Oreochromis niloticus: one gene and its partners. The protein of the gene in region 1 interacts with the protein of each later gene in a pairwise test. Links are inferred from orthologs where the notes say so. Each region holds a gene or a part of one and is shown in the gene's direction. Other genes may lie near its edges. The genes, in order: rint1, zgc:100829, lmo2 and txlna.

Region 1 (7,272 bases):
TGTTCTGAAAGGCGCTTTAAAATAAAATGTATTATTATCATTAAAAAAAGAATAAAATTCACATATATATGCATTTCATTTTATTGTGTTTCAGCCTTTAATTGTTGTATTTTTTAAAAATACATAGATTCAAGAAGTTTGCTGTTTGCCTAGCTGCCCTGGGACGCCTCTGTCAGCTGTGGCTACAATGTAGCTTGCCATCACCAGTGTGTGAATGTGTGTGTGAGTGTGTGAATGGGTGGATGACTGAATGTAGTGTAAAGCGCTATACAAATACAGGCCATTTATTGTCATATAACCGCAAAACACGAGTGGTTACGCAGAGCAATGAAATTCTTACTTTGCAGGTTCCTTTCACACAACTGAATAACAACTAATTAAAATAAAGACTAAATTTAACCCTGAGCATAGAAAATAATAAATGAAGTCAAACAAGTGCTTTGTAGCATTTGTAGCTTGTGTGTGGGTGTAGTCAGAAAAAAGTGCAAAGTAGTTGCAATACTGTCACAGTGATAATATATACAGAGTATGCAATATTAAAGTGTTTATATTGTATGAAGTTGTGTTATGTTGTATATAAATGTACAAAATTGTACATTTACAGGTTAAACGTAATCACAGTTCAACAATTAGTCAGTGATTCAGTAGCCTGATGGCCTGTGGATTGTCCCTGGTTTCACACTCTGTAGTGTCTGCCAGATGGCAGGAGTGTGAACAGTGTGTGCTGTAGGTGGGTGGGGTGGGTACTCCACAGATGTTTTAATAACATGTTGCAGAGCCTTCCTGTCCTGAGTGGTGCTGGTCCCGTACCACACTGTGATGGACTTTGTCAGCATACTCTTCACTGTGCATCTGTAAAAGGTGCTGAGCAGGTTGGGGGTTAATCCAAATTTTCTCAGCTTCCTTGAGAAGAAGAGTCGCTGCTGAGACTTCTTGATGATTTGTCGCGTGTTATGGGTCCAGGTGAGATCCTCTCTGATGTGTGTGCTGAGGAATTTGAAGGTCTTCACCTTCTCACCTGAGTCTCATTGATTTATAGTGTGGCATGCTGGTCTCTCCTCATCCTCAGGTCAATAATCATCTCCTTAGTTTACTCAGCATTTAAGGAGAGATTATTTTCCAGGCACCAGGACACCAACTGAGCCACCTCTTCCATGTAAGCAGTCTCCTCTGCAGCAGTGATCAGCCCGACGATGGTTGTGTCGCTGGGCTGAACTTAACGATGGAGGTGTTGCTCTGGGAGGGGACGCAGTCATAGGTGAAGAGGGTGTACAGGAGTGGACTGTGTACACAGCCTTGGGGAGTCCCTGTGCTCACTATCTTTGTACCTGATATCCCGACCCCTCTGAGTCTGGAAACTCATGGTGATGAAGTCAGAGGCTTGGATGGAGCTCAGACTGAGGTGTCTGTGAGTTGGAGACAGGGAGTAGGTCGGCTTGACCAATCTGAAAGGTCTGAAAGGGAGGGGGATGGAGAGTACAGATTTAAAACACACAAAGTGGAAGCTGATTGGCTCATAGAAGGCAAGGGTTAGTGGTTTGTATCATATCTATCTAATAGACTCCAATTTGTACATGTAAATGGAGAGTCCTCTTCACACACTAAGGTTAATTATGGAGTTCCACAGGGTTCAGTGCTAGGACCAATTCTGTTTACATTATACATGCTTCCCTTAGGCAGCATCATTAGAAGACATAGCATAAATTTTCACTGCTATGCAGATGACACGCAGCTCTATCTGTCCATGAAGCCAGGTAACACACACCAATTAGTTAAACTGCAGGAATGTCTTAAAGACATAAAGACCTGGATGGCCGCTAACTTTCTGCTTCTTAATTCAGATCAAACTGAGGTTATTGTACTCGGCCCTGAAAATCTTAGAAATATGGTATCTAACCAGATTCTTACTCTGGATGGCATTACCTTGGCCTCCAGTAACACTGTGAGGAACCTTGGAGTCATTTTTGACCAGGACATGTCCTTCAACGCACATATTAAACAAATATGTAAGACTGCTTTCTTCCATTTGTGCAACATCTCTAAAGTTAGAAATATCCTGTCTCAGAGTGATGCTGAAAAACTAGTTCATGCATTTATTACTTCCAGGCTGGACTACTGTAATTCTTTATTATCAAGATGTCCTAAAAACTCGCTGAAAAGCCTTCAGCTGATCCAAAATGCTGCAGCAAGAGTCCTGACAGGGACTAGAAAGAGAGAGCATATTTCTCCTGTTTTGGCTTCCCTTCATTGGCTTCCTGTTAAATCCAGAATTGAATTCAAAATCCTGCTCCTCACATACAAGGTCTTAAATAATCAGGCCCCATCTTATCTTAATGACCTTGTAGTACCATATCACCCTATTAGAGCACTTCGCTCTCACACTGCAGGCCTACTTGTTGTTCCTAGAGTATTTAAAAGTAGAATGGGAGGCAGAGCCTTCAGTTTTCAGGCCCCTCTTCTGTGGAACCAGCTTCCAGTTTGGATTCAGGAGACAGACACTATCTCTACTTTCAAGATTAGGCTTCAAACTTTCCTTTTTGCTAAAGCATATAGTTAGGGCTGGACCAGGTGACCCTGAATCCTCCCTTAGTTATGCTGCAATAGACGTAGGCTGCCGGGGATTCCCATGATGCATTGAGTTTTTCCTTTCCAGTCACCTTTCTCACTCACTATGTGCTAATAGACCTCTCTGCATCGAATCATATCTGTTATTAATCTCTGTCTCTCTTCCATAGCATGTCTTTATCCTGTCTTCCTTCTTTCACCCCAACCGGTCGCAGCAGATGGCCCCGCCCCTCCCTGAGCCTGGTTCTGTCGGAGGTTTCTTCCTGTTAAAAGGGAGGTTTTCCTTCCCACTCTCACCAAAGTGCTTGCTCATAGGGGGTCATTTGATTGCTGTTTTTTTCTGTGTGTATTATTGTAGGGTCTACCTTACAATATAAAGCCCCTTGAGGCGACTGCTGTTGTGATTTGGTGCTGTGTAAATAAAACTGAATTGAACTGAATTGAACTGAATTGAATTGAATTGAATTGAATTGAATTGAATTGAATTGAATATATTGCTGTGGATGACATATATTATGACTTGGGAATTATGTTTTATTCAGTCTGAGTTTTCCATTACAATGAACCTGCATGGCTTTCTCTTGTTCATGAGATATTTACACCAGAAGTGCTAATTTGTGATGAGAATCGTGACAACTGTTAACAAATAGGTCACCTGCAGTGCTAATGGTTTTCCTTGCATTTTTAAAAATATTTATTTGGATTCCAGTGTTTAAATTAATAGATAGCCTATATTGGTCTTCACAATCCACTTCAAAAATGACAATGAGACACGTGTGTGTGTTTGTGAAAAATAGAAGCGCTAACATGAAAAACATTAGGCTGAGACAGGAAGTGAAAGGGAGAGAGAGTACATCTGTTCTACAGAATGGTCACAAAGATCGAGATGAAATAATTTCCACTAGGGATCAATAAAGTATTCTGATTCTGATTCTGAAGATCAGTTTGACAGACAGACGACATAACATTCGACCATATATCCAGTTATAGTTAACTAATGCATGGAAACTTGCAAGTGTGGTTACACACACTCAGAAATTATGCTACAGTTTAACTGTGCGCTCAGGTACTTAGGTAAATAGCACTATACATCTTTATCCATGAATTAGAGGCAGGCACATTGATCCAATTATTAATAGTATCGACAACAACACTGGAATTGGTATTGGATCGATAGTAGTGTGATAGATACTTTGTTTCTATCGTCTAAATTCACTGAATTATATTTTTTTTGTGAATTAAATAAATATACCTCAAACATCCAGTATGAAAAATGTCTGAATCTTGTGTCTTGTTTATAGCCAACAGCACGTTTAAACAGCCTGAGCTGTGTGTTGGAGACAGACACATTTACAGCTCAGTCGTCCAAATACAAAAGGCTGAAAGGTGTGTTTTCATTGTGTTATTCATTATTGTAGAATCTCAGTGATTTAGTGGCCATTAAGTTGTGTTCAGAATTTGCACACCTGTGATGAGTCATGTCATAAATCATGACACGCGCTCCCCTACTTAAGGTACCTCTGTAGCTCAATAGTATTGGTATCGGCCCTGTATTTACTTGGTATCGATACTAGAATCAGCTGTGCTGGACCCGGTACCATGAATGAATGTGCTGACGTGTAGCGGACGGTGCCATCTGTGACGTAAGCGTTTTCAGACAACTGTGGGCTTGTTTTCTCCTCCAGCGTACTCCTCGTGTTAGTGAAATAAACACGGGCCATACAGCAGCAATGGCTACAGTTTACAAGATAGCAAGACACGCGTGGTCACACTTTATGTGAGACAATCTATAAAGGAAGATTTAATATGAAAGTCTGGCATGTGTGTAACCACGCGTGACCGCTGCACGCGTGACCTCCTCCCGCGGGTTACCCAAATACAATTCACGAGCGCCTCCGAGGAAGGCGATCGTTGCATTCGACAGGAAAAATGGCGGCGGCCGTAACAGGAACGCCAGAGCGAGCAGAGAGTGAAATAACAGCATGTTCCCCACAGCCTGCTTACACGGCAGCACCACACCGCGAAGCTTTATCTGCGGAGGACTTCGTGGCGGGTTTCCTGGAGGACAGAGACACCGAGCTGATGTGCTCGAAGACCGTCGGTGAGCTGATGGAGCATCTGACCGAGCAGAACAACACGCTGAAGGAACAGGTGAACGAAACAACGCACAGAAATCATCACATATACCGAGACACAGCGAAGACACGCGTGAGATGTTGTCCTGCTCGCTGTGTCAGTAACATCGTGACAGGTGTTACCCTTACGGCCGTGAATTGTTTCGGAAATTTGGCAACCCAGTCTCACAGTTAAAAACAAACAAACCCTGTAATTGCTCCCAAAAGGCTGATTGTGTCCATCTGAACGTTTTCAGTGGGAGAAACGTTTCGTCATCATCCAGGTGACTTCTTCAGTCTCAGCTGACTGCAGCTTTATAAACAGGACATTTGCACAGTGACCTCACAGCCCACTGAATGAACTGTGGGCTGCCAGCCAGCATCTGTCTCCTAATCACAGCTCAGTGAAAACGTGCACAGGCCCAGCGCCAGGCAACATAACTTACAGGTGATATGAGATTAGTAGTGGTGCAGTTATGTGGACACTGGCGTGGGAACAGTATGACGGTGCATGTTTCTATATATCTCCTTTTTACTCAGTAAACTAAAAATGTAAGACGTCTATAACACTGTATTTTCACACATTTCTGTGTCCTCGCCAAAAGGTTTTGAGTGTCAGAGAAACACGTTTGTGCGTTATTGTGAAGTTTATGCACTTATTTATAGTTAAATTAGATTTATGGTAGAAATCTCTTTAGGAATAAATTTTTTGACTGTGATTGTATATACTGTACCTTGTTTTGAGCTCAGTTTAGAGTTTATATAGCTTTAAATCAAACTGTACTCCTCCAGGCAGCCAGTGGGAGGCGCTGGTATGAGCCACTGCCAGAAGTCAGTGTTTTGATTGTGTTGAGTCTATTCCGGCTCTTTCTCTCCGCTTTCCAGTCTGTGTTGTCAAAAAAGACTTGAATGACAAACTCCTGCTTGTTGGGTTAAACCCCCTGTTGTCTGGTGGCTTTGAACACACCTGGAGAGCAGCTTCATTTTCTCCTCAGAAATATCTCTAAATATCGCTAAAAACGTTGTTTTTCCTCATGTTGGAGTTTGTTAATGCGGTGGTTTGAAGGATTCACACCAACTTCTTCCCAGTAAAGGTTTTAATGGTGATTACAGGAACAGTTGTTGTTGTTGTTTTGGACGCTAGAAACACGTTTTTGTTTTATTCATTTACCCTGAGCTCATCGTCTCATCTTAGCAGACAGAAACTGGTTAGTGAGTTATTACTAAGTTACTGACTCCATTTAATCAGCAGTGAAAATAAGTCACCAGGAGCACATCACTGTTTCAGACAGCCTAACATACAGTGTGTCTGTGCTTTCGGGCACTACCTAAAATCATCTTTGTTGTTATTATTTATTCTTACAGCAGTGGATCATAATGGGACAAGAGCTGTACTTTTCCAAAGAAATAACAGTTTTGTGCATCATGCAGGTCTTTTGTTGTACCAATGAAAGGTACATTTGTTGATGCCAAGTTTAGCGTTACATCCAGGATTCTCTTCAAGAGAGCTTATAGAGCTCTGTCTCTGTTTGTATCTGCTTTTGTAACGGATGATCGCGGTTGGTTGTGGCCTCTTCCTCATGTACTCGTGGATGTTTAGAATAGAATAAAATAATCCTTTAATTGTCCCACAAGGGGAAATTTGGTTGTAACAGCAGCAAGAAAAAATATACAAACAAACAGCGCACAGAACAGAAACATACACAATTTTTTATATATATATATATATATATATATATATATATATATATATATATATATATATATATATATATACATGTGTATATATATATATATATATATATATATATATATATATATATATATATATACATGTGTATATATATATATATATATATATATATATATATATATATATATATATATATGTATATATATATGTATTTTTACATCAAGGACAATAGTTACAAAAACAGAGTACTGTACAGTTATTAACATTAAATAAAATGAAATACATTTTATTTACAGATAAAATGTATTTCAGATAAGAGGCAAACCCAGGTTGTAGTGTGAATCGGATGATAAAATAGTGCAAGTGACAGCGCTGATGTAAACATCTGTGTTTGTTGGGAGCAGTTTTGATTGTACAGTCTGACAGCTGCAGGGAGGAAGGACCTGCGGAAACGCTCCTTCATGCATCGAGGATGCAGGCTCTGCAGTTCAGCAACATTTACATGCATGGGGTGGGAGACTGTCCATCAGAGATGTTATTTTGCCCAGAGTCCTTCTGTCTCCCACCACCTGCACTGGTTTGACGTCTCATCCTGTGTGGTGCTGACACTCACCAGTCCCCGGCCTCCTTCCTTGTGCTTAGTGTGCAGCCTCAGGATGCTGGACTTGGGGTGAAACTAGTGCTGGGCGATATATCGAGTTTTTAAAATATATCGATATATTTTTATACCAGATATAAGATGTGACAATATCGTTTATATTGATATAGTATATGTTACTTTATAATTACAGGGAGTGCAGAATTATTAGGCAAATGAGTATTTTGTCCACATCATCCTCTTCATGCATGTTGTCTTACTCCAAGCTGTATAGGCTCGAAAGCCTACTACCAATTAAGCAT
Region 2 (7,289 bases), on another chromosome or scaffold:
GTTTACACATAAATCATATGAGGGCTAGGCCTGCTTCGGAAACTGATAAGATTTCATGCAGTACATATATATATATATATATTAAAAAAAACAAAACAAAGGAACGTGTAGGCATTTTCATGAAATGAAATAAGTGCTCTATTTATTGTGCAATATGCATTGCATATAAGGAACTGGTCATTGGATCTTGACATTTGCCAGAGGCATTCAAAGATATATTAATATTGTAACTTTTGTTTCAGTTGAAATTGTTGCCATGCAGATGGATATATAATAGACTACCTTTGTGTCTCGTTGTTAATGCAATGTGTTCAGTTTAAAGGTACTAAATGTGTATTTGATAGAGGAAATGCAGAGACAACATGTAGCAAATGGCCTGAACTGCAGATTATTTAACAAGGCAAAAGACCCTGAATATACTGTGTTGATTGGCATGGTAAAAACCAGAAGAGCGCAATCGGTTAGTACATATGAAACAAACTTTTTGTGATCTTGTTTAGTCATAAAAGTCTAAATGGTGCCAAGGAGTGCTGTTGCTGCATGTTTATCTGCACTACGATTTCGTTGGTCTCCCAAAATATTGGCTCAAAGACCCTTCCATACGTATCTTTATCTGCCTATGTTGTATGAATCTCAAGTTCGAGGACTGGGGGGGGATTACCATCCAAAAGGCTCGGTGTAGTTCTAGTGGAAGTTGTTTCAAAGCATGATTGTAAAAGCAGCGACCTTGTGAACAGTAATCGAAATGTCACCATCACACTATGAGGAGGGCCACTGAGGCGCTTGCCTGGCTTAGCCGAGGTGAAGACAGCCTGGTTCACCTGTTGGTGAATGTCTGTTATGTCATTGGATGTGCACATTCCTTTCTTGCGTTTTAAGATCTTAGGGTGTGAAGTTCAGTGTGGGGCTACTTTGGATACATTCTCATAGCTCTGCTTTAGATTTGTAAGCCCAAATACCCACCTGGGGTGATGAGATTCTGTTCTGGTCTAATTGTAAATATTTGGGCTGCCACACGGAAAACAACTGGTTCTAATCCAGTTCAGTCGCATCTCATAGATGTGTGATAGCAGTTTTATAAACTCTGTCAGTAAACTCCAGAGAAACTGGCAACAATCAGATAATGTCAGATTTACCTCAGCATTGAATTAAATGATTGCTCCCATGTTTAGATTGACTGGAAACCAGCAAACTAGACTGTCCTTGACCACCTATTTTTGGAGCCTTTGGTATAGCCTAAATGATACCTGATTGGGAGCATCCTCTTCAGCATATAAACAACCTGGTGCCTTACACACTCCGCATGCTTACACGCTGGCCTGGTGCTTTGGATCGCAGTTATGGCTTCTTTTTGTTTTCTTCTTCTTCTTCTTCTTCTTCTACTTCTTTTTTCAAATCTCCTCTTTCTTCTATTTCTTGTGTCTCAGCCCCCTTGTGTGCTAGCGCACGACTCGTGGTGCTAAAAGGGTTTGTTACAAACTCTTTAGAAAAATAGGAGCAGAATTCTTAACTTTTTTCTGCTACCTTTCAGCTTCCCTCCCCTCGACTTTATTGCCATCCCCATTCCCTAGCCATCCAGGTATCGGCCTACATGTAAACATGGAAGGGGGTGGTCACCTAGATGCAAGATGATGCAGAAGAGATGGCTCTTCACCAGCCATGTGCATTAGCAGGGAGAGCAGGGGCTGATTGGGAACATCAGTAGTGGCCTGAAATGGTATCAATTGTTACGGGAAAGCCCCACCCCACCCCTTAAAATGCTCGTTTTATGGCTTGGGTTAGTTATGTGTAAGTTGTAAGTTGCTCAATTAATGGGGAGTAGCAAGCATGTCTTGTTTTGTTTTGTGTTTTTTTTTTTTTTTCTTTGTTTGTTTTTTTTTTTTTGTTTGTTTTTATGTAGTTTTACCTTTTCAGCATTATTCCACATTATTTGTAATTTTGGAATGTTTTTGCCCACAAAAATATCTTTTTTTTCTTTCTGTGCAACATTTCATCACTGTGTGCAATATCATATGTGCCAATGGTGGCAATATATGTATATCAATTAAATATATGATTACTATTTGAAAGCATATGGCTGAATTCCATGTTTATTTCTCATGAAGGAATTGTACGCCTTTATTTGCACACAAAGCTCCATCCTGGAGGAAAATATAGTAAACCAAGGTCTTAGCAGCCTGTTGAGTCAAGCAGTTCACGTACGTACTTTAACTTGAAATCGAACATTGTCCCTGCAAGTATGCCCCTCTCAAGGAAAAGGGTAAACTTGGTTAATGGTTTGTTCAAGGTAGACTGTAAACATACAATGGAGTTTTTTTGTTTGTTTGTTTCTTTGTTTTGTTTTTTTCTTTCTTTTTTTTTTGTGAAAAGGAAAATTTAAAAAGAAGAAAAAAAAATCCCTGGAATCTCCATTTTAGCTTTAAGCTAAGAAAAGGTGCTTCAGTCCAATCCTCATTAAGGTGTATGGTGAACTGTCTTCAGTGGTTGTTGTGTGTAGCACTTTGCTTTCCCAGGTTAATGAAATGCCTGACCAATACTTGTTTAAAAATGATCTCAACAAAGAATGTTGTTCTCTTTTCTGTTACCTCTTTTTATTTAAAAAATGAGGTTATTTGATTTGCTCATTTGGTTTTTGATGCATTCAATATAATTTATGTACATTTGACAAATTATAAAAAAAGAATAAATTTAATTTACCCATGAGGGGGAAAAAATCTACATTCAAAATGTATGTGTTTTTCATGTTTCATTTCTTGTTGTGGGATGGGGGTGGGGGAAATCACTGAAAAGTCTGTTTAATTTTTATGTAGTGTTGTCTACAATGTCTGATTATACATTTGCAATGATACTAATTGCTAAAGCTTAATTTTACAGCCTATAAAATGCAAATTTTGCAATGGCGAGTACCTGATGACTCATGTCTTCTTAGAGATTTCTACAATAGTACTGTATGTGTAAAACCAGGCTGTAAAATAAAGCGTTACTTTGTTCTCTGACTATCCCGACTATGCAATTTGTGATCATCTGTATGCAACAGTTGCTCTTCTGTGAGTTTTTCTGTTAATCTAAAAACCAAAAAAATAAGACTTTATTGATCGTGACCCAACAGAACCTGCACATGTTTTAAGTTAAATTTTTGTAATGATTGTTTTTCTTTCTTATTTTTTTTTCTTTTTTAATACGTTTGGTGTCGGATTTAAGCTAAAAATCAAAGTTAAAGAAAAGCTTAAAGTTGCTTCCAAATGTTTTTAGGATGCGTCTCAGTATTCTTGAGTTTATAGCTATTTATAAGTAAAACTGATTCCCTGTAACAAGTTGAAGTCTTGGTTTAATTCTGTTAATAAAATGAAATGACATAGAAAATGTTAATTATCATTATGTAAATTCTGAAAATTGGCCAAGTGATATCAGCAGCACCCTTTGGGTTGCTTCTAGGTCCTAAATCATGGAGCATAGAGGCAGATTTATTTCTGGGCCATCCACATGGAGTACATTTGTATTGCTTCAACCAGTCTCCTATCAGCAGAACCCACATAAGAGTAAATACAGCATAACGAGCTGCGAGGTCCATTCTCTAGACATGCCCAAATGGTATTTCTCCAGGACATATGTATGTTTGTGCTTTGTTGTTAGTTGATAGTCCCAGCCTGCCGGATGGGATGGAGGGTGAAAGAACTGAAGTGGATGTGCTATACCGAGATGGACTCCAGCCCAGATGCCAGCTTACACTCCGACTTTGCTCCTCATCCCAGAATCTACACAGAGAACTGGTCTCTGTCGTCACAGCATGACTAAAGCATCCAAACAAGGATAAACCCCATTTAATCAAACAAAAATTCCCTTATTAAACATAAAACACATTGTAAAGTGTTCTGATGGTGTTTAGTCTGATCCAAGGTGCCACACTTTGAATCTATGAGAGAACTTACATTTTATTAATTTTGAAACATGACCATTATCACATGAGCACTTTGTCACCGCTGACTATAACAAATGGCTTGCTACAAAAGCATCCTGCCTGTCGTTACCTTTCAGGTGCAGGTGTCTGCATGCATTGTATATTTACGCTGTTTTGCAGTTGAAATTTATGGAGCCATGCGGTCAGTGTGCACAAGCACCAGTTTTTATCCAGCTTTCATTTAGTGCTGTAGTCTGAGGTAGTTGAGCACTGGCTTGGGTGGTGACGTAATCCATGGCAGGCTCCTTTTCTTTTTTTAAAATCACAGTAATTGCTTTAACCACTAGAGGCCGCTCTTTACCTAAAAATGAGTGGCTCATAAGCAGAGGAGGACAGGCTTAGCTGAGAAAATTTCCTCTGGCTTGAATGTGCAAACTATCAACAGACATGGTAAATTGAACAGCAAACAGTTACTTGCATAAATCCTAGAAGGCACATCGGTTGTTTCACATAATGCTAGAAGCTGTGCTAAAGTTTTGGGTAATGCTAAACGCAAACGTTAGCAAATAGCATTTCTTAATTAAAAGGCGTCGTTAAAAGGGAAGAAAATACAGGAGGAAGGGAGCTATTTTTTCTTTGTTGCATTTTTTTAATATTGTTTGTGTAGAATTATATGTGTAAGCGAAAATGTTTTGAAGATATGTAAAATACGTGTGTTATGAACATGAACGCATGCCTTTCTTTCTAGCATATTTAAAGTGAGAGTTCAACTTCCTGAGAGCAACTCAGGAAGTTGAAATGTGGCCTTAAATGTAGCCTTAGTGTGTGTGTGTGTGTGAGAGAGAGAGAGAGAGAGAGGCTGTCAGAGAGAGAGAGGAAGGGAGAGGGAGGTAAAGAGATTATGGAATGCTGTGATGTCATCAGCTCAGTCATACACACAAAGACGAGGAGGACCCACAGGCGCTGTGACTCCCTCAGCTCAGTTAGCATACTCTGCTGTGGAGCGGCTGTCTACATCCCACTGTGAGTACTTCAGCAAATTCTAACCTTCTCTTGCAACTCCCTTTTTGTTTTGTAGCACTCATTTTCTCCACTTCACCCCCTCCCCCCTGTTTTCTTTGGTTTCCTTCTCTGCACCCTGCGGTGTGTTTAGCAGACACCAATCTGTATTCCACCAGTGTGATAGTTTTCAGTCTGAGACGAGCTTTCTTTCCCTCCAAGTGCTGCCTATGTGGTAGCCATTGTTTAACTACCCACTGTGACTGGAGGAGTCCATTTCAATCCTCTTGTTAGACAACCTGGCTCTCGCTGTCCAGTGCTATGACCCAGATTTTTATCCCTCATTACAACCAGACACTGGCCATGTTTTAAAAAAAAAAAAAAAAAAAAAAAGAGGCGGGGGGCCGCTATCTTGTGAGAGTTTTAGAGAGAAACGAACATGGTTTTGGGGAGAGGAAGGAGCAGGGTGGGACACTGATGTCAGAAGCAGTCCCATTCCTTTGGAATCTCCTCCCATTCTGGGTAGCAGACTTTCTGTAAAGTGTTGAAATTGGCTTTGGGCTCTTCCGTATTCATGCAGGGAAGGACAAGACAACTGCCTTAGATATTTCTAGGAAATAAGAAAAGAAGTTTCTTAAGAAAATATGTAAGACACTGCAGCTTTGAAAATCATGCAAGATGATCTTTACTGTGTGTTTTGTTTTTCTCATAGATTGTGCCAAAGATGACCTCCAAAGAAATCTGACATCTTGATGGGGAAACTGAGCACAATATAGAAAGGAAGCAGGATTTGTGAGTGTGTGTGAGAGAGAGAGAGAGAGAAAGACAGACAGACAGAGTTTGTATGTGTGAGATAGTACAGCCTGTACAAAAGCATGTGTAGAAAGAGCAAGAGCCTTAATTCATGAGTTCAAGAGTGACTATAGGGACAAAGAAGAAGCTACAAAAGTCCTCTGCTGACATGAGACCATAAATCATCCTTACACACTGTACACTACGAGAAGCAAGCTTCAACTGCTTGCCAAGTGGTACCAGGTTAACGCACCAACCCTTCGGCCGCCAACATGCTGCAGCAGATCTTAAAGGACATGTACATTGACCCTGAGGTGCTGGAAGCCCTTAACGAAGAGCAGAAAAAGACACTGTTCCTGAAAATGCGCCAAGAGCAGGTGCGGCGCTGGAAAGAGCGGGAGGAGAAACTGGAGAGAGAGGGGGGCGACGCAGAGTCCAAGAGAGCAAAGCCAAGAAAAGGTAACCACACTGATCCATCACCACCACAGCCGCCACCTCACCCTTTTTAACCTTCCCTCTTCCTGTTTATCTCGAATCTGAAGCTGCAGGGTGCAGCTTCAGGTTTTTCAGGCCTCCGACTGTCACGTTTTCACAAAGGTTCCACAGGAAGCCATCTGTTTTCTTCTGAGCAAGCGCTTTTGGAGTCCTTGGAGTCGAGATATATGAGTAGTGTGCTGAGAATTATCCGATAGAGCGTTACAAAGCTTGATAAGGGAACCACTGAAGCATGTGTACGTTGGCTGTGACAGATATCCTAAGCTGCTGGAGTTTGCATGCTCCCAATTACCTGAACAGCTGTTTGTCAAAACATGAAGTGAGCATCAAAATAAGTTTTGTTTTGTTTTTTTTTGGGGGGGGGGTTGTTTTGTTTTTCTACAGCTCGTCCTAAACTATTGCAGATCTTTATTTAAATATCTGTTATAATTGCACTTTTTATTAAATGCTTCACCCTCCACAAGGTGAAAATAGTTTGACCGTATGGTCTAATTTCCTTGTCTTCTGAGCCTCATTCACACAGACAGAAACTCTAAATTAGATCATTTTATTTCCAATTGAAACATTGCAATGTGAGGTCCCAGATGTTGCTCATATCTGGAATTCTGTATTTGATGACAAATAAATGTCAGAAGAAAACATCCACAGGACAGGAGGAGATGGCAAAATAACGCCTCTGTAGGGAAATTTACAAGTTAAACGAAGAGTACATGTGTTTATCAGGTGCTGACATAAGATATGATAACAAATACTGTCTTTTTCCCCATACTTGGTAAATTCTTTTGCTCAACCTAGGTGGTGAGAGTATGCATGGGAAAAACAAAACAAGCAGAAACTCAGGAAGCTGCAAGCCTGTCGTGAAACTGGTTTGACAAAATCTTGCGTGTCTGCATTTTCTCTTGTACGTCTTTTGTATTAAGGACTTCTGGAAGAAGGGCGTTGCGTAACAACATGAACATAACAAATTGCTCTATCACCTTAATCCAAACAACAGGGGCAAAGTTAATTTATTTGGATGAGTGCAGCAGTTACTTAAACCACAGTGATATCACAGCATGACTTAAAGCCAGTTGATGATTGACACAGTGATGTGTTCTGTCTGGTC
Region 3 (7,202 bases), on another chromosome or scaffold:
ACTTTAGATTGGACAGGAAGTAGTTGTTTTTACTGATGCTGTTCCAGAGTTTGCACAATCGTAGAGTCAACACCATGTCCATAGTCTTTTACTTTGGGAAATTTGCCTGCAAGAACTTTCAATATTTTATTTCTTGGGAAATAAATTCCCATTCTTTGCTGAAATGATTAGCTTCTGTATGATTTTACTGTTTGCTTAGCAGCAATGTTTTTTTTCCCCCCGACATTCCACACTGCTTTCAACTCCATAATGCTCTCAGTACAAAACAGGCAAAACAGGAAGTTGGACATGCACTTCCCTAAAGGTTGTCTACACTCTTAACTGTTTGCTCCCCAACTTGTACCCCAGAGAGGAATAAAAGCTGAAAATAGCAAACCACATTTCACATAAAAGGTCACTATTGCCCTTATTTTAAATGCTATAAAGTTCAAAGCATGAAGTGTGAAAATCCCCCGCCTTTCAGTTTTATTACAGAAGTAGGGTGACACATGGATGTCAGATCTACAGTAAAGTGCAGCTCCTTTCTGGTGGCATTTAAGAAGCGTTAGAACAGAGATATGGGTTTTACCACCCAGTCACAACAGCCTCGAGTTGTCTATGAGAATACTTTCTCCTATCACCCCGAGCCATCTGGAGTCTAGCAGTCTATCTGGGAAACCATGAGAAGGGTGCCATCGTGCATGTAGGGGGGTAGGAAGTGAATGCAATGTGCACCAACCCTTCAGGAAAGCTTCATCTCTGCATGCCAGTTTGAACATCCTCTGGGCTCTCTCAGTCAACTCCACAGGAAGTAGTGGATGACTTGTGTCATGTCAGTGCTGATTTTGTATTCTCTCTTGTGTTTCTCATCTGTCATGAATTTGTTCATGTGCTTTGTGTTCATGCAACGTGGCAATCTGGAAGGATTCAAATATTATCACTACACATGTATTCATGGGTAGCATTGATTGTGAGCCTCAATATTTCCTTTGTTTGATTGTTTCAGAGAGGAGAAAGTTAAAATACCAAAAACTAAAAAAGACTATTACAAACCACCACCATTTAGCACAGTCAGTGCTAAATGAAACTGTTGATATGTGGCACCGTAAATTGGCACTCAGTCAATAAAACTTTAGCTATTTAATTCATTATTTGATTATTTGACATCATTGAAAGCTCAAGAATAGTGCAAATCATTTGATTACAATACCAAGGGAAAATTGCATTGTTCATATGGGTGAAATACTTACTTGATCCCCTGCTGAATTTGTAAGTTTGCTCACTTCCAAAGAAATGATCAGTCTTTATTTTTTATGGTAGCTTTATTTTAATGGAGAGAGACAGAATGTCGACCAAACATCCAGAAAGAAAGAAAAACTTGACTTAATACTTGGTGGAGAAATTGTTGTTGCAAACAGCACTAAGATATTTCTTGTAGTTGGTCAGGTTTGCACACATCTGAGGAGGGATTTTGGCCCACTAGTCTTTACATAAACTATCTAAATACTTTAGGTTTCGTTGCTGCTGCTTAGAAACTTTAAACTTCAGGTCTTTCCACAGAATTTCTATAGGATTGAGGCCTAAAGACTAGCTAGACCACTCAAAGATGTTAACATGCTTCTTCTTTAGCCACTCCTTCATTACCTTGGTGATCTCTTTGGGTCATTGTCATGCTGGAAGACACATCCACAGCATATCTTCTGTGTTCCGGCTGAGGAAAGGAGGTTGTTGTCCAGGATTTTATAGTACATGCTCCTATACATTTGCTCCTCAATGCAGTGAAGTTGCCTTGTACCCTTAGCAGAAAAATAAACCCAATGCATAATGTTTCCACCTCCATGCCTGACTGTGACGATGGTGTTCTTTGGGTCATACTCACTTCTCTTCCTACAAACATGGCTGGTTGACTTGATGCCAAAGAGCTTGATTTTGTTTCATTTGACCACAGCTCTTTCTCCCAAGACTTCTCTTGCGGGTGAAAGATTTCAATCCATTATAGTGTAGTGTGTTGACAATGGTGTTCTGACTGTGGTCCCGACTTGCTTCCGATCATTAACAATCTCCTCGCGTGTAGTTTTTGGCTGATCCACAACCTTTATCATGATCATCCTCACCCCTTGAGGCAAGATCTTGCATGGAGCTCCAGATCGATGCTCATTTTATATTTCTTCCATTTCTGAATAGTCACATCAACAGTTGTTATCTACTCACCAAGCTTCTTGCTGATGGTCATGTGGCTCATTTCAGCCTAATGCAGGACTAAATTTTTGTCCCTGACATCCTTTGCCAGATTTTTGGTCTTGGAATGGAAAAAAAAATGATTCAGTGGATAGTTGTGCTTTGTATACATAATAAGTTGAGATCAGGATTATCTGTAATTGATTGACTGATTGTAGTTTATGTGCCACATGGCAAGCAGTCAATCTGTGGGAACCAACCTGGATTTTTGTTCTATATTCTGTCTCTCTATCAAAATGAAACTGCCACAAACATTAGAGACTGTTCATTTCTTTGTAAGTGAGCAAACTTACAAAATCTACAGGGGATAAAATAATGATTTCCCGCACTGTATATAAGCAAGAGGGATTAACTGCATGACATTTTTATTTAGTGAAGATTAAAGTCACTATAGTCAAAATGGTCCCTTCATTGTGTTATTGTGTTGTACAAAATCTGAACGTGTTTCTCATCTGAAGGATTTGTAGTTTGAGTTTTATCTCTGTCAAGCTGCTCTGCTTTCTGCGTAGCTGGCACACAACAGCCATGCTCACCTTGCTCCTGGGCTTTCTCAGCTTGGTATCAATCCAGTGAGTCTACTCAGCTCTCCAACTGTGTGGCCCAAGGATGCTTTCAGCCTTCATCTTAGAGTTCGCCTGTGATCTTTTTCTGTTACATTTGGCTGCAGAACTGATTCTGGGTGCTGGAGTTTAGGTGCTTTATCTTCCCTGTCCAGTCAGACTGCTGTCGGTGTCCCTCCCTCCTACAGGCGGCCCTGAGGCACTGGCAGTAGATAAGAGAAGGGCCCACAGCAGCTCTGGTTTGAAAAGGAAAAGCCATGAGGACACCAACTATGTAGAAATATCAATGCATTAATTCCCCACAGAGGCAGCTTTCACAAGCTCTTTTTTTTTGGATTATTTCTAAGCACAGCTTAATCATATCTTCCTCCAGCTTCACAATTTCTCTGAGCTTTGTGTAAAGAATCAGCAAGTACACATATCAGAATTTTACTGTTGACATAATTGTTAAAACGTCAGATGGAAATATTAACATTAAAGTAATTACTAGTGAGTTAACTGGTGGATGGACTGCTACTTATATAGTGCTTCATACAAGCACTTTTTTTTCTACACTTAAGTGCTTTTCCTCACTTTTCGAGAGCAACTTCGGGTTCAGGATCTTGCCCAAGGATAATCTGGCATGCAGACCGGAGCAGCCAGGGATCGGACCAATTAGTAGGTGACCTGCTGTACCTCCTAAACTACAGCCACGCCAATTAACCTAAAAATTATTAGTTTAGAAGATATGTGATGCAAAGTTATTGCTCAAACTGTCTGAAAATACTCTTGTGCATAATCAGTGATCTAAGATTACATTACAGAGAAGTTACGCAACAAAAATAAAAATAAAAAGTAAGGGACTTCCCTGGTTGTCTGAAAAGGCCCTGGCAATTGTGTTTTCAGCTGTGTGTTTATGTAGGACCTCTAAAATATAAAATCACATTTTAGGAAGTAAAATGAAGTCCTTGGAATTTTTTTCTAAGTATAATATAATAAATCCACTGAATTCAAGTTCACATTACTTAACGCAGTGATAACCATCATCGTCTGAACCCTTACAGAAAGTGACCGTCAGAACCTTTTAGAACCGGCAACACCTGGGGCATAATTATGAGAGAAAACACAAATACTCCTCCCCAAAGAATTAGACCGTGCCACTCTTTATCTTTCGTCTTATCTGCACTCTGGCGAAGCAAAGCATAATAATCATTAGCCTCAGTCACGACCCACTCCACGCCTGACAGAGCAAGGCCGTGTTAAGCTGTCGCTTTAAGACCGATTTCCCCCCATTGTCAAACAGTCGTGAGCAGGAAGAGGGAAACGAAAGCACAGCCTGACTAGCGAGAGAGAGGGGGTGTGAGGAGGGGAAGGGCGCGCGGGGAGGGGTGGGGGGGGTGTATTTAAAACACGATGCTGCTGCTACTGCACAATAACGGTGCCCGCGGCTTCATGTGGGTTCGCACGCCTATGAAAAGGCACGAACACGGAGAGCCACGTAAGTGACCTTCTGATCGCATCACACGGCGTGTGCATTTTAATAAAGAGCGGACAGGCAGCAAAGTCCCTGCGGGGTGAGGAGACACACTTGGAAAAAAAGACGCGAAGTCTCTCCGCGGGTCACTGCCTCAGGAAATGATGACAGTGTCCTCCATCACGGCTTAGCCGCTTAAAGCGAACACTTCTCGTCTTGCGGCCATTTCGTCTGGACTCAGCTGCCTTCGATTGAACACGTTTGAAAGCCTGACGCGGGCTGCTGGTGGTGCTGGTGGTGCCCCAGAGGTGGAGCAGGTGCAGCGCCCGCACGCAGCTTCGCCTCGCGGGTCCCCACTGAGCTTGCTGGCCAGTGGACCAGGCTGGACATCATCTTTGAAGAATGACATCCACGATAGAGAGGAAGACGCTGGAGGCCAGCGAGTAAGTAGCAATGAATGATGTTAAATAATGTCATTTCTGATTCAAGTAAAAGTATCCGTGACGCATCAGCACTCACGGGACAGCCACAACTCTCCGGTGAGACAGCTGCAGAAAGCTGGTAGCATAAGGTCTGAAGTCTCCTGCTGTTAGATTAAAAATGTCAAAGTTTAAGAACAGAGTGATGTGTTAATGTTAATAGAATAGAATAGAATAGAATAGAATAATCCTTTAATTGTCCCACAAGGGGAAATTTGGTTGTAACAGCAGCCAAAAAGACACATATACAAACAAACAGTACACAGGACACAGAACAGAAACATACACAATTTTTCTTACATATTTACATTAAGGACAATGGTTACTATATACAGAGAGTACTGTACAGTTATTAAATTAAATATAAATAACTATAGATAAGAGGCAAACCAGGTTGTAGTGCGAATCGGTTAATCGGTCTTGCGAGGAAAAAGTTAAGAAAAAGTGGAGCGCTAAGGCACTCCTAGCGTAAATCGACATTTAAAAAAAACAACCCAATATTGTGTGACATACTTTTTATTAGTTAGCGGTTTAATATCCAATGGCTCCCTCAGGTGGACGGGAATAAAACACATCTGCGCACACAGCTCCAGCTCAGAGACCGATCAAAGCTGAAATCATTAGAAAAGATATACATGTGTTTGTGTAGCACTTATTAGATACAACACAGTGTGAATATTGATGCAGAACACTAACTGTGCCTTTAGATCAGGAAATGTTTGTTTATTGCATAATAATAGCAAAATATCAACAGGTCACCAGTAAGTATGTGTCAGAGCTAGAACAGTTCTATTCCAGTATTTGATTCATCAGTTAGCAAACTGTTTGGGAGACCTGCATGTCACACTGACTAACTAACCAATCACACAACTGAGGGAAACCTTTGCAGATTAACTGATGAAGGAAACAAAAATTTGATGCTGCCCTAAATCCTTATTGCTTTTTTTTCTTTTTCCAGGGAACCGGTGGATGAGGTCCTCCAGATGCCTCCATCTCTGCTGACATGCGGTGGATGTCAGCAGAGCATTGGTGACAGATTCTTCCTGAAGGCCATCGAGCAGTACTGGCACGAGGACTGCCTGAGCTGTGATCTGTGTGGCTGTCGGTTGGGGGAGGTGGGCCGCCGGCTCTACTACAAGCTGGGAAGAAAACTGTGTCGGAGAGATTACCTCAGGTTGGTTCAGTTGGTGTAATGTAGTGATATTATGAATTAATCAATTAGGTCGTCACCCTTTTAGTTAAATTACACACAGAAAAAGAAGCACTTTTTGAGATGCACTAGTATGTATATCTTTTATCACACCTTAAAGGCTCATGGAGAAACACTTTGAGCAAGTATAGAAATTTCTAACCTATTTCTACCTGTAACTTTTTTACTGAAGAAAGTGTGGACAAGTTGAAATAGATTCAGGAGAAGAAGGCAGGTCTTTGTTAAAGAACTAATGTTAAAATTTGATATGATATGTAGCTGTGTGGTGCACAGCCACATATCAGGTAAACACATTTACCTAACCTATCTCTGCCTGAGATACAAACTCAGGCAGATGCACTGGGGTACTCCTCTCAAATATGTAGTATCAATCAGTGGCCGAACCTGTATGATCGGACCTGGCTTGTGAATGCCCTGCATCACCACTTTAAGGATATGTGTTGCTTTAATGACAATGCATTTCCGCTTTATTTATTGCAAAATGAAGTTTGTGTTGCTCAGTGGTTTTCAAACTGTGTGCTGGGTCCCCCTGCTGGCGTGTAGTGCCACTGCATGAGGGGGTGTGGATGACTTGGTGAAAAATATGGACCGAAAGTAAAGCAAATCTGTAGAACTTATGTGTAAAATAAACAAACAAGAAGCAGGTAATGCAGTCCTTCTATACTTTTGCACCATTTCCCAGAAATTCAGCTCTGATCCATTTATTATTGCTAATAATTGCTAAAAATCGTGGGTGGTTGTGTGACATTTTCAGCTTCTGAAGAAGAGCAGGATAGAAAAAGTCTGTGAAGCACTGGTGATGGCTAATTTCCTCTCTAACAGCTCAATCCCTCAGGCTCAGGGGAAAGATCCAGAGTACCTTAATGGAGATACTGTCAGTCTCTCTTACAGCTTCACATCATTAAGAGCGAGTAAATGTTTTCCATCTTCCTCCCAGTAACATGTTGATGCCCTCTCATCCACTCAGGCTTTTTGGCCAGGACGGTCTCTGCGCTTCCTGTGAAAAGAGGATCCGAGCATTCGAGATGACGATGCGTGTGCGGGACAAGGTTTACCATCTGGAGTGCTTCAAGTGCGCTGCCTGCCAGAAGCACTTCTGCGTGGGTGATCGTTACCTTCTCATCAACTCAGACATTGTGTGCGAGCAGGACATCTTTGAGTGGACCAAGCTCAACAATAATAATATGGTTTAGGAGGATGTCTTCTTTCCCCTTGATTCAAAGGGAATGGACTACTGATAGACATTTCGTATTTCCAATGCAGGCTTTATAATGCATTTGAAA
Region 4 (7,817 bases), on another chromosome or scaffold:
GTCCCCTCTGTAACAGTCTTCTAATAGTTTTCACTGTGCACAGATGAGCAGTGGGTTCATATTCATGATGTCACGACCTGCAGCCAGTCGCCCTCTGCAAAAAAAAAAAAAAAAAAAAATTCTGCACTGATACAAACTTTGTAATGATGTGGCACATAATGCAAATAATGGAATCCTAAGCAGCTGTCAGGGCAGACAGATGCAGGTACTGACCTAACTGTCCACGTTAGTTTACCAAAGTTTTGTCCTCAAGAAGGCTGAAAAATTTCCTTGATGTTTAGTTTGTATGACTTTATGTGATTGGCTTGTGTCGACCCGGTCAGAATGACTGACAGATTCCTTCAGGCCGTTTAAACCTTGCCTCTCTTCATTAGAAGCCGCACTAGATGGCATGCTCTCTCACTCCTGAGTTTTCTTTTCTCTTAAATTCAGGCGCTCTTTAAGGAGTTGGAAAAATGTGCAGATTAATCCAGAAGACTGCAATAAAACATTGTCCAAAAAAAAAGAAAATCAGCCACCCCGAGAGGCAAAGGCCCACCTACAGGAAGAGCAGCTCTCACAGGTGACACTCCTTCCACTGGGTGGAGCGAACACAGGCTACTACTTGACATTTTTCTAAGATAAAAACAAAAGAAGTTTAAATAAATCTGGGATTCAGAAATAGTACAATGATTTACATTAAAAGTATTATAATTTAAACTATATGTATGTTCTGATACATTGACAGGGATTCAGATGTAATTCTAATCACTTCTAAGAAGTGGAGAAAAAGCCTCATTAGAACATGTCACACGAAAAAAAAAAAAAAAAATAGGTGGTGAGGATACAAGCTTCTCTTTTTTGTTTTTGCTTTTCTTGATCTTTTTCCTGATCAGGATATTCTGGGCTATATTTTTGGATAAATGTGTTTAAAGTTCCTCGTCAGGCTGCGTGATCAGGAATCTTGTAATCTATCGGGGATTGAACAGAAATCACTAAAAATCACAAATCTGACGTGTCTTCCGTCCTAGGAGCTGTTGGTGTCTTTATCAAAATCTAAAGCAACGTCTACGCTACAAATGTTTACAATGCTTCGTGTTTGTAATAATACTTTTCATATGCCATCACTGACCAGTCGTGCTTCTGCTCTGGTCCTCTCATTTCTTTTACACGTATTTATTTTCTCTATTCTTGTTTATGGTTTTTCATTTGCTCCAAACGACCCATCTTTAAACTGTGACTCGACTTGACTTTTACCGACGGTATGAATGAGCGACGAGAAACTAGTACACTTCAAAACTGAACATGACACACAAACATGAACATGAAGAAAAGATGCATACAGGAAATGGCAACAATATAAAAAATGTAAAGAAATCATAGAGTTAAAAAAAAACTGTTCAGTGGAAATATTGTACAAATCCAATAAAGTTATGTTGCAACCCTTTAATGAGTTTTTCTTCCTCAGTGTTCTTTCATGTTGGAATGTTGACGGTGATATTTAATGTGAAACATAATTTGTTTAGATTTATAATTATTGAAATGTGGAAACATTAATGTAAATATGCCATAGAAGGCAAAAACAGTTGGTATAATTCTTACAAGCCTGATGTTCAGGATTGGGTGTCACCAGTTGTATTAAACACAGAACTCTCGTAGACAAACTTTCTTTTAATGTCTCAAAGGAAATTTTTCTTCAGGAGTCGTTCTCCAGACTTACTGAAGGACATTCAAAGCTATTGTTCTTTTACCTGTCAAGCTGATCGCACAATGACAGGCCAGTCATGACTGATCGTGTTCAACAGTGTTTTGACTTTTTTCCCTCTCTCTTCTATGCTCGTATGCTTTTACTGCATTGGTAGTGTGTTTGGGATTATTCTCATGCGGAGAAATAAAGCTGTTGCCAGTCAGACACTTTCCAGATGGAGACTGCATGCTGGATCAAAATCATATTTTCTGCATTCAGAATTTCGCCAGTTTTTCTTCCTCAACCATGTTTTATAGATGGCTGTAGGCACTTACTGTTGTGCTCTGCTCACATAAAATAAATTAAAATTTGGATTAATTGCTCCAGCACACCTGTTGCCACTGACTTTACAGTCCAGTTCTTGTGTAATTTGGCTCAGCCTCCTTAAGACTGGCTTTTTGGAAGCCATTCTTCCACTCAGACCATTTCTGATGAGGCTTCAGTGAACAGCAGATGGATCCCTCAGGTCCTGTGTAAGGTATACATGACTTTCAGACACTCTTCACCTATTGTAGGTGGTTTTTTAGGCCTTAAGATGCTACAACCCATGGGTTGACAGTTTGTCAAATGGTAAATATTTGAAGTCTTCAGGAAAGACTCACTCAGAGGCTGGTCTTTTACATTCGGTCCATTTTCATCATCTTTTTCCTGCCGTTGCATTTATCTGCCCATCAGGGACTCTCAACCATTAACTGTGCTGTTTATATTGCTCTGTTAACCATGACAATGGGACTAGAGCTCTGTAGTAGCCACCAGGTAGTCCAGCTTTCATGCAAACATTGCTGCTGTTTAGTTTTCCATCTAGAGTGAAAGCAGAGCTGTATGTTTCAGGTTTTTAGAAATCCTTCAGTCAGAGCATAGCTCGCTACTTTCCATCTAAAGATGTTGTACTAACTTCAAACTCAGTTGAACTCAGTTTGGACACAGAAATGGCTAACAAGGTCATACTAACATATGGATTTTTTTAAATATACAGTCTATGTCTTTCTTTCTTTTTATTTGAATAAAAAATACTTGGAATCCTGTAGATCCCAACAACTCATGAAGTAGGAATTTCAGGAAGAAGCTACTGTATCAACACCAACACCACACATGCTGATGGAGGAAGGAGAAAAGAGAATGAAAATGAACAAGCTTGGTAGGGCAGTGTGACAGAAAGCAGCACAAATGGAAACAGATCAGTTAAACATCAAACACATCATTAGCATTAAAAGGATTTGCACATACAGCACAGGCAGGAACATACTTAAATTTACCGCAGTTATATTTATACAAATGATTGTGGTCAGTAAAAAATCCAGAATTTCTCATTGCAGGATTATGGTGCAGTATGATGGGGCTTTCAGTCATTTATGTGTACCAGCCCATTATGATATAAAAAGAAACAAAATGTCAGACAAGGTTTTCAAACATAGAAACAAAAAGCATTTTAATTGATTAAGCAATTAGCTGCAGCGGGAGACAGAAATGAGCAAAAACTGAAAGAAAGGCTGCAAAATCAGCGGGAGGAGGAAAAGATGACAATACAGATGCAAGTTGGGATAAATAAAGTTAGCAGGATGGAACCAGTTGTGCCAAAAAGTGATTGGTGGTAAAATTTTTAAAAAAAAGTGAAAGAAAACCTAAACAGTCAGACAACGTGGTGACAGTGGGAAGTAAAAACTCCCTTTTAACAGGAAGAAACCTTCAGCAGATCAGCTGGGGTTTTATTGTAAAAACTGGGTGGAAAATGATTGAACAAATCTATTAATATATGGTGAGTTTTGATCTAAGTTCAGTCTGTCTGTTACTCCCAAAAAGTACACAGTGGTGTTTGATCCCAATGCAACTTTCAATAAAGTTGGTTTAAAATGATATGTTGGCCTATGCTCTGCCAAACATGTGGCAAACACATGTTTGGCAGAATGACATCAAGTCATTTTGAGCCCGAGAGGACATTCCTGTCACAAGGTAGAAGCTGCAATTAGTTTTTGGCAAAGTGGCTTTGCTTGGTAAAGCATCTGACTGACATTAAAATGTATTTTCCAGAGAGATCTGGCAAAGAGAGTAGCAAACACTGTGACCAAAAAGGACTGGATTGGTTATAATGAATTTAAAGATTTAAAGATACAGTTCATTTCTTTATTTTATATATAACCCCTTCATGAATCATGTTGACACCTCTATTTAAAATTATAAGCAAAGGTACTACACATAGAAAACTTATAGAAACATCAGAAATTGCTTTTTGGACACATCTGTAAAAGCGTTTTACACCCTGAACTAAACCGTACACCAGGAATGTCAAACTCATTCTATTTTCATCTTAAGTGGGACAAACCAGTGAAAATCCCCCTTCTGTACACGAATTGAACTACTATTTAATCAATTGGACATCTTAATAAAAATAATATGTGTATCTGAATATCTGTTTTTCAGTGATAAAGAGATGCTACTGTAATCAGTCTTTCAGTATGACTCTTTGGGCTTAAATTATAAGAAGTAAATGTATAAAATTACAAAAAACATCAGTTGTAGCTCAGATGGTCCAGAAACAGAAAGTTTCTGGTAATTCACAGAACATGACCTTTTTTGTGGACCCTTTGTAAAAAAAAAAAATTACAATTTCTATGGTCAATACCTGTTATTTAACTAATTTGCTGTAGTTAAAATAGCCATGAGGAAGATCTTTATCGGTAAGAAAAGCTGCGAAATGTATTAAATTATATTTATAAGTCCAAAAATTCATGTCTTTCATCACATTTTCCAAATGCACCCAGTGGGTCTTTGTCCGGCTAATCCTGGACCTTATGTTTGACACCCCTGACGTGCACTGTTTAAAATAGGGAAACATAAAACAGGCAAGAGTTACAACTGTGGATAGGAGAAAACAATAGAACACATGCTATGCTATAAGAAATATAGGAAGAAATAACTCAATTTATTGAAAAGCTCACGATGAAAATGTTATCAGTAAATGTGTTATCACGCCATATTTAAGCATTAGTTAATTTCAGCATTAGTTAATTTGACTGAGGGGCTGCTTTGTAACGTTGTAATTGACCCTCCTGATCAGCGTGTGGCGATAAAGCACCAACAAGTTGTTTGCCGAGCGCCAATAAACCTCAAAGAAGAAGAAGAACCCAAAGTTATTACCGGAAGTGAGGTTTTTTTTTTTCTGTCTCACGCTGTTAAGGAAACCTACAGACACATTAGCAATTTCCTCCTTGACTCTAAAGGTAAACAGTTGTATATTACCTGTAAACAACATGTATCATTTATAAGCAAGTAGCAGTGTAGTGTGCCTTCTTGTTTTAGTAGTTTGTGCCCGATATATACGAGCTCACAGTGGCTACCTGGCAGTTGTGTAAGCTAGTTTAGCTGCTTCTGGCGGCTTCTGCTAGCTAACGCAAAGTGAAAGCTAATGGGGACAGGGCACGGTAGAAAAGAAAGCAGCTAAAAAAAGTTACTCTTTAATGTTTGGAGGATAGAAATGGATATGAATTTCCAGGCTAAAGTTCAGGTTTCACCAAACCAATCGTGCGGAGCTTGTCTTAAAACCAAAACTTAAAAACAAGTCCATCAGGAAACGTTACTGCACTGCGCAGGAGCACAGCTAGCAGGAGTAACTACAGGTTTATTTCGCTTGTGGTTCGGCTGCTGCCACTTTGTTTGTGTCCCCATACAGCCGAGGCTTTATTAGGCTAGGAAAGAGAAACTTTATTACGTTTAATGTTCTATGACTCATTTGCGCTGACGATTAAGTGTTGCTCAATAAATAAGTCTACTTGCTGTTATTACATTCCATCCCTCTGAGCTAACCATGGCAGGTTTTTCTCCTTGTAACAGGTAACAAGAGATGAAAAAACAAGATACCGAAGAGTCCACCACTCAGGCTGCTGAGAATGCTCCACCCACAGCTGCAGCAGCAGGGACAGAGTCACCTGCAGCTGCAAAGGACAGCTTGGAAAGCAACAGCCCCAAAGAGTCTGAACCACAGACACCACAGACGGATACACCGCCACAGGGCGAGGAGGGGGCAGGGGGAGGTAAACTTTGAATTCATGTCAATCCCAGCTGGACTAGATTATATAGTAGGCTAAAACCTTCCTATCATCAGTCTTTGTGACTCAAGTTTGTCATCTTGTTTCCCAGTTGTGCATGCGTATGTCTACCAAGCAACCAAGATGTAGGAGTAGAGCTTTTTTCTCTATTTCACTGATTAACCTGCCAGCCAGAAGGGTACATGTACCTGTTTAGTCCCTGTGAGAGGAGGAGGCACACATACACATTTTTTTTCAGTTGACTGTTGTAGTTTAGAAATTCCTGCTCTAAAATCTTTCGTTTTTGAAAATTATTCATCTGCTGTCTACCTAATTGGCCTGGGAGTTGGTGGTGATAGTTCTTATTCTGATTTGAAGCAAGGAAGCTTGCTAATAGCAACATATGATCCAGTGCTTTAGTTAGTGTGTCCTTCCCACTACAAGCTGTGGGGGGGTTGCACTCTCCGGCCTGCTTTAGACTTCTGTGGGGAATCTTTGTAGAGCCTAAGATGTAACCTATGTAAGTGCATTTATGCTGGTGCTGATGCATTATTTGTTAATTAACATAGGGCCTTGTCCCGGTGTTTCACATGCAGTGCCTCCTGGGTCCTCGCTTGTTGCTGTGGTCAATTTTTTTTCAGGGAAGTTTTCCCTCTTAGTGTACATTCCTTCACGTCCATTCCGATAGTTTCAGCAGTCTCCCTCCAGGAATTTTCTGACATTTGTGAGTCCTGATATTGATGCTAGGATAATTATTTTTTTTATACTGAGGAAAAGTTATCCCCTCACTGATAAATTCAAATACTGCTGTGAAAAACAACAGTCGCCTCAAGGTACTTTATATTGTAAGGTAGACCCTACAATAGACCCTCTGCAGACAAACAGCATTTAGCAGCAGTATGACAAAGTATACAATCAAAAAGCTCAGTGCCTCTTTCATTTTCTGCATCTCAGTTGTCAAGCTCCAGCTATGAAGTGCTTCTGCATCAGTTTCAGTGCCATGCTAGATGCACGCATCATAAGCAGTGTTAGCAGATACGGACAATGATAGTCTACTGGCAGAATTTACTAATAGCAGGTTCCGGCTCCATATTATAATGCTGGCACCACTAATGTTTGCAGACTCTACACTGCTTAGAATAGTTTGCTTGCTGTTGTTATTATTATTAGTTGTTTCATTTTTCTTATTCTTAAGCCTTTAATTTGCTAAGTGAGATCCAGCATGGCCAAAGTGACAGTTAGGAAGTAGAAACGCTGACCATGTGATCATCTGTGATGATAACGCCAGTCACAGGCCTTCAGATGTGCGTCGTGGTTGAGGACGGTGCCTAAAAGCATCTCAAAATCACAAATCAATTAAAGATTCTCATTTATTTTCAAGATATTGTAAATAAACTGTCTAAACTTCTAAACTGTTGCTGAGCTGATAATCTAGGTGTTTTTTTTTTGGTTTTTTTTTTGTTTTAAAGGAGTATTTCTGACATGGTCTTGTAGGGAGTGAGCTTCATATTTCTCTCGTTATATTTGTCGAATTCTACATTGTCTGTTTTTAAAAATTTTTTTTTTATTATGAACTGAAAAACCAAACTGCAACATATTTGACTTTAGAAGAAGAAAAGCAGCTAGAGTCATTTTTTTCCCCTCCATTCTGTGTAACTGCAGAGGCTCCGTTGTCTCAGTGTGACATGGCAGAGGAGCTGAGCCGGCAGCTGGAGGACATCCTTAGCACCTACTGTCGGGAAAGCATTTCAGACGACGCCAGCGCCTTAGCTAACGGCCAGTCACACAGCCCAGAGCTCAATGGCCTGACCAATGAGAGGGAAGATGACAAGCCAGAGGAAAGCAAAGTCAATGGTGGTGACAGCGGTGTGGGAAAGCAGCAGAAGAAAACTCAGGAGAAGAAAAAAGTGAAGGGTCTAGGTAAGAGGGGGAAGTGTGTTCAGTGTTTTGGCCAGATTTATAGGAATAAGTGGGAGAAATTAGCGTGAGCGCCCTGCACAAGGAGTGATCCAAGTGGAAAGATTGTGAGTAATCAACTAAAAATGCAAATTTATGACTGCACACAAAAC

The links.
Region 2: the proteins of rint1 (region 1) and zgc:100829 interact in binary tests that used the Homo sapiens proteins (3 or more experiments, as listed by UniProt). The two-hybrid records come from large-scale screens. The link is inferred for Oreochromis niloticus from reciprocal best matches to the Homo sapiens genes RINT1 and SH2D4A.
Region 3: the proteins of rint1 (region 1) and lmo2 interact in binary tests that used the Homo sapiens proteins (3 or more experiments, as listed by UniProt). The two-hybrid records come from large-scale screens. The link is inferred for Oreochromis niloticus from reciprocal best matches to the Homo sapiens genes RINT1 and LMO2.
Region 4: the proteins of rint1 (region 1) and txlna interact in binary tests that used the Homo sapiens proteins (3 or more experiments, as listed by UniProt). The two-hybrid records come from large-scale screens. The link is inferred for Oreochromis niloticus from reciprocal best matches to the Homo sapiens genes RINT1 and TXLNA.

The regions. Positions count from the first base shown.
Region 1 is NC_031981.2:447,156-454,427, forward strand, and holds the start of rint1 (RAD50-interacting protein 1), read left to right. Parts: upstream 1-4,267; 5' UTR 4,268-4,494; coding exon 4,495-4,716; intron 4,717-7,272. UniProt on the Homo sapiens protein: Involved in regulation of membrane traffic between the Golgi and the endoplasmic reticulum (ER); the function is proposed to depend on its association in the NRZ complex which is believed to play a role in SNARE assembly at the ER.
Region 2 is NC_031975.2:13,263,146-13,270,434, reverse strand, and holds the start of zgc:100829 (SH2 domain-containing protein 4A), read left to right. Parts: upstream 1-4,286; 5' UTR 4,287-4,921; intron 4,922-5,609; 5' UTR 5,610-5,961; coding exon 5,962-6,148; intron 6,149-7,289. UniProt on the Homo sapiens protein: Inhibits estrogen-induced cell proliferation by competing with PLCG for binding to ESR1, blocking the effect of estrogen on PLCG and repressing estrogen-induced proliferation. May play a role in T-cell development and function.
Region 3 is NC_031972.2:49,579,362-49,586,563, reverse strand, and holds the start of lmo2 (rhombotin-2), read left to right. Parts: upstream 1-4,180; 5' UTR 4,181-4,632; coding exon 4,633-4,673; intron 4,674-5,667; coding exon 5,668-5,883; intron 5,884-6,886; coding exon 6,887-7,112; 3' UTR 7,113-7,202. UniProt on the Homo sapiens protein: Acts with TAL1/SCL to regulate red blood cell development. Also acts with LDB1 to maintain erythroid precursors in an immature state.
Region 4 is NC_031985.2:30,555,154-30,562,970, reverse strand, and holds the start of txlna (alpha-taxilin), read left to right. Parts: upstream 1-4,804; 5' UTR 4,805-4,944; intron 4,945-5,554; 5' UTR 5,555-5,564; coding exon 5,565-5,754; intron 5,755-7,410; coding exon 7,411-7,668; intron 7,669-7,817. UniProt on the Homo sapiens protein: May be involved in intracellular vesicle traffic and potentially in calcium-dependent exocytosis in neuroendocrine cells.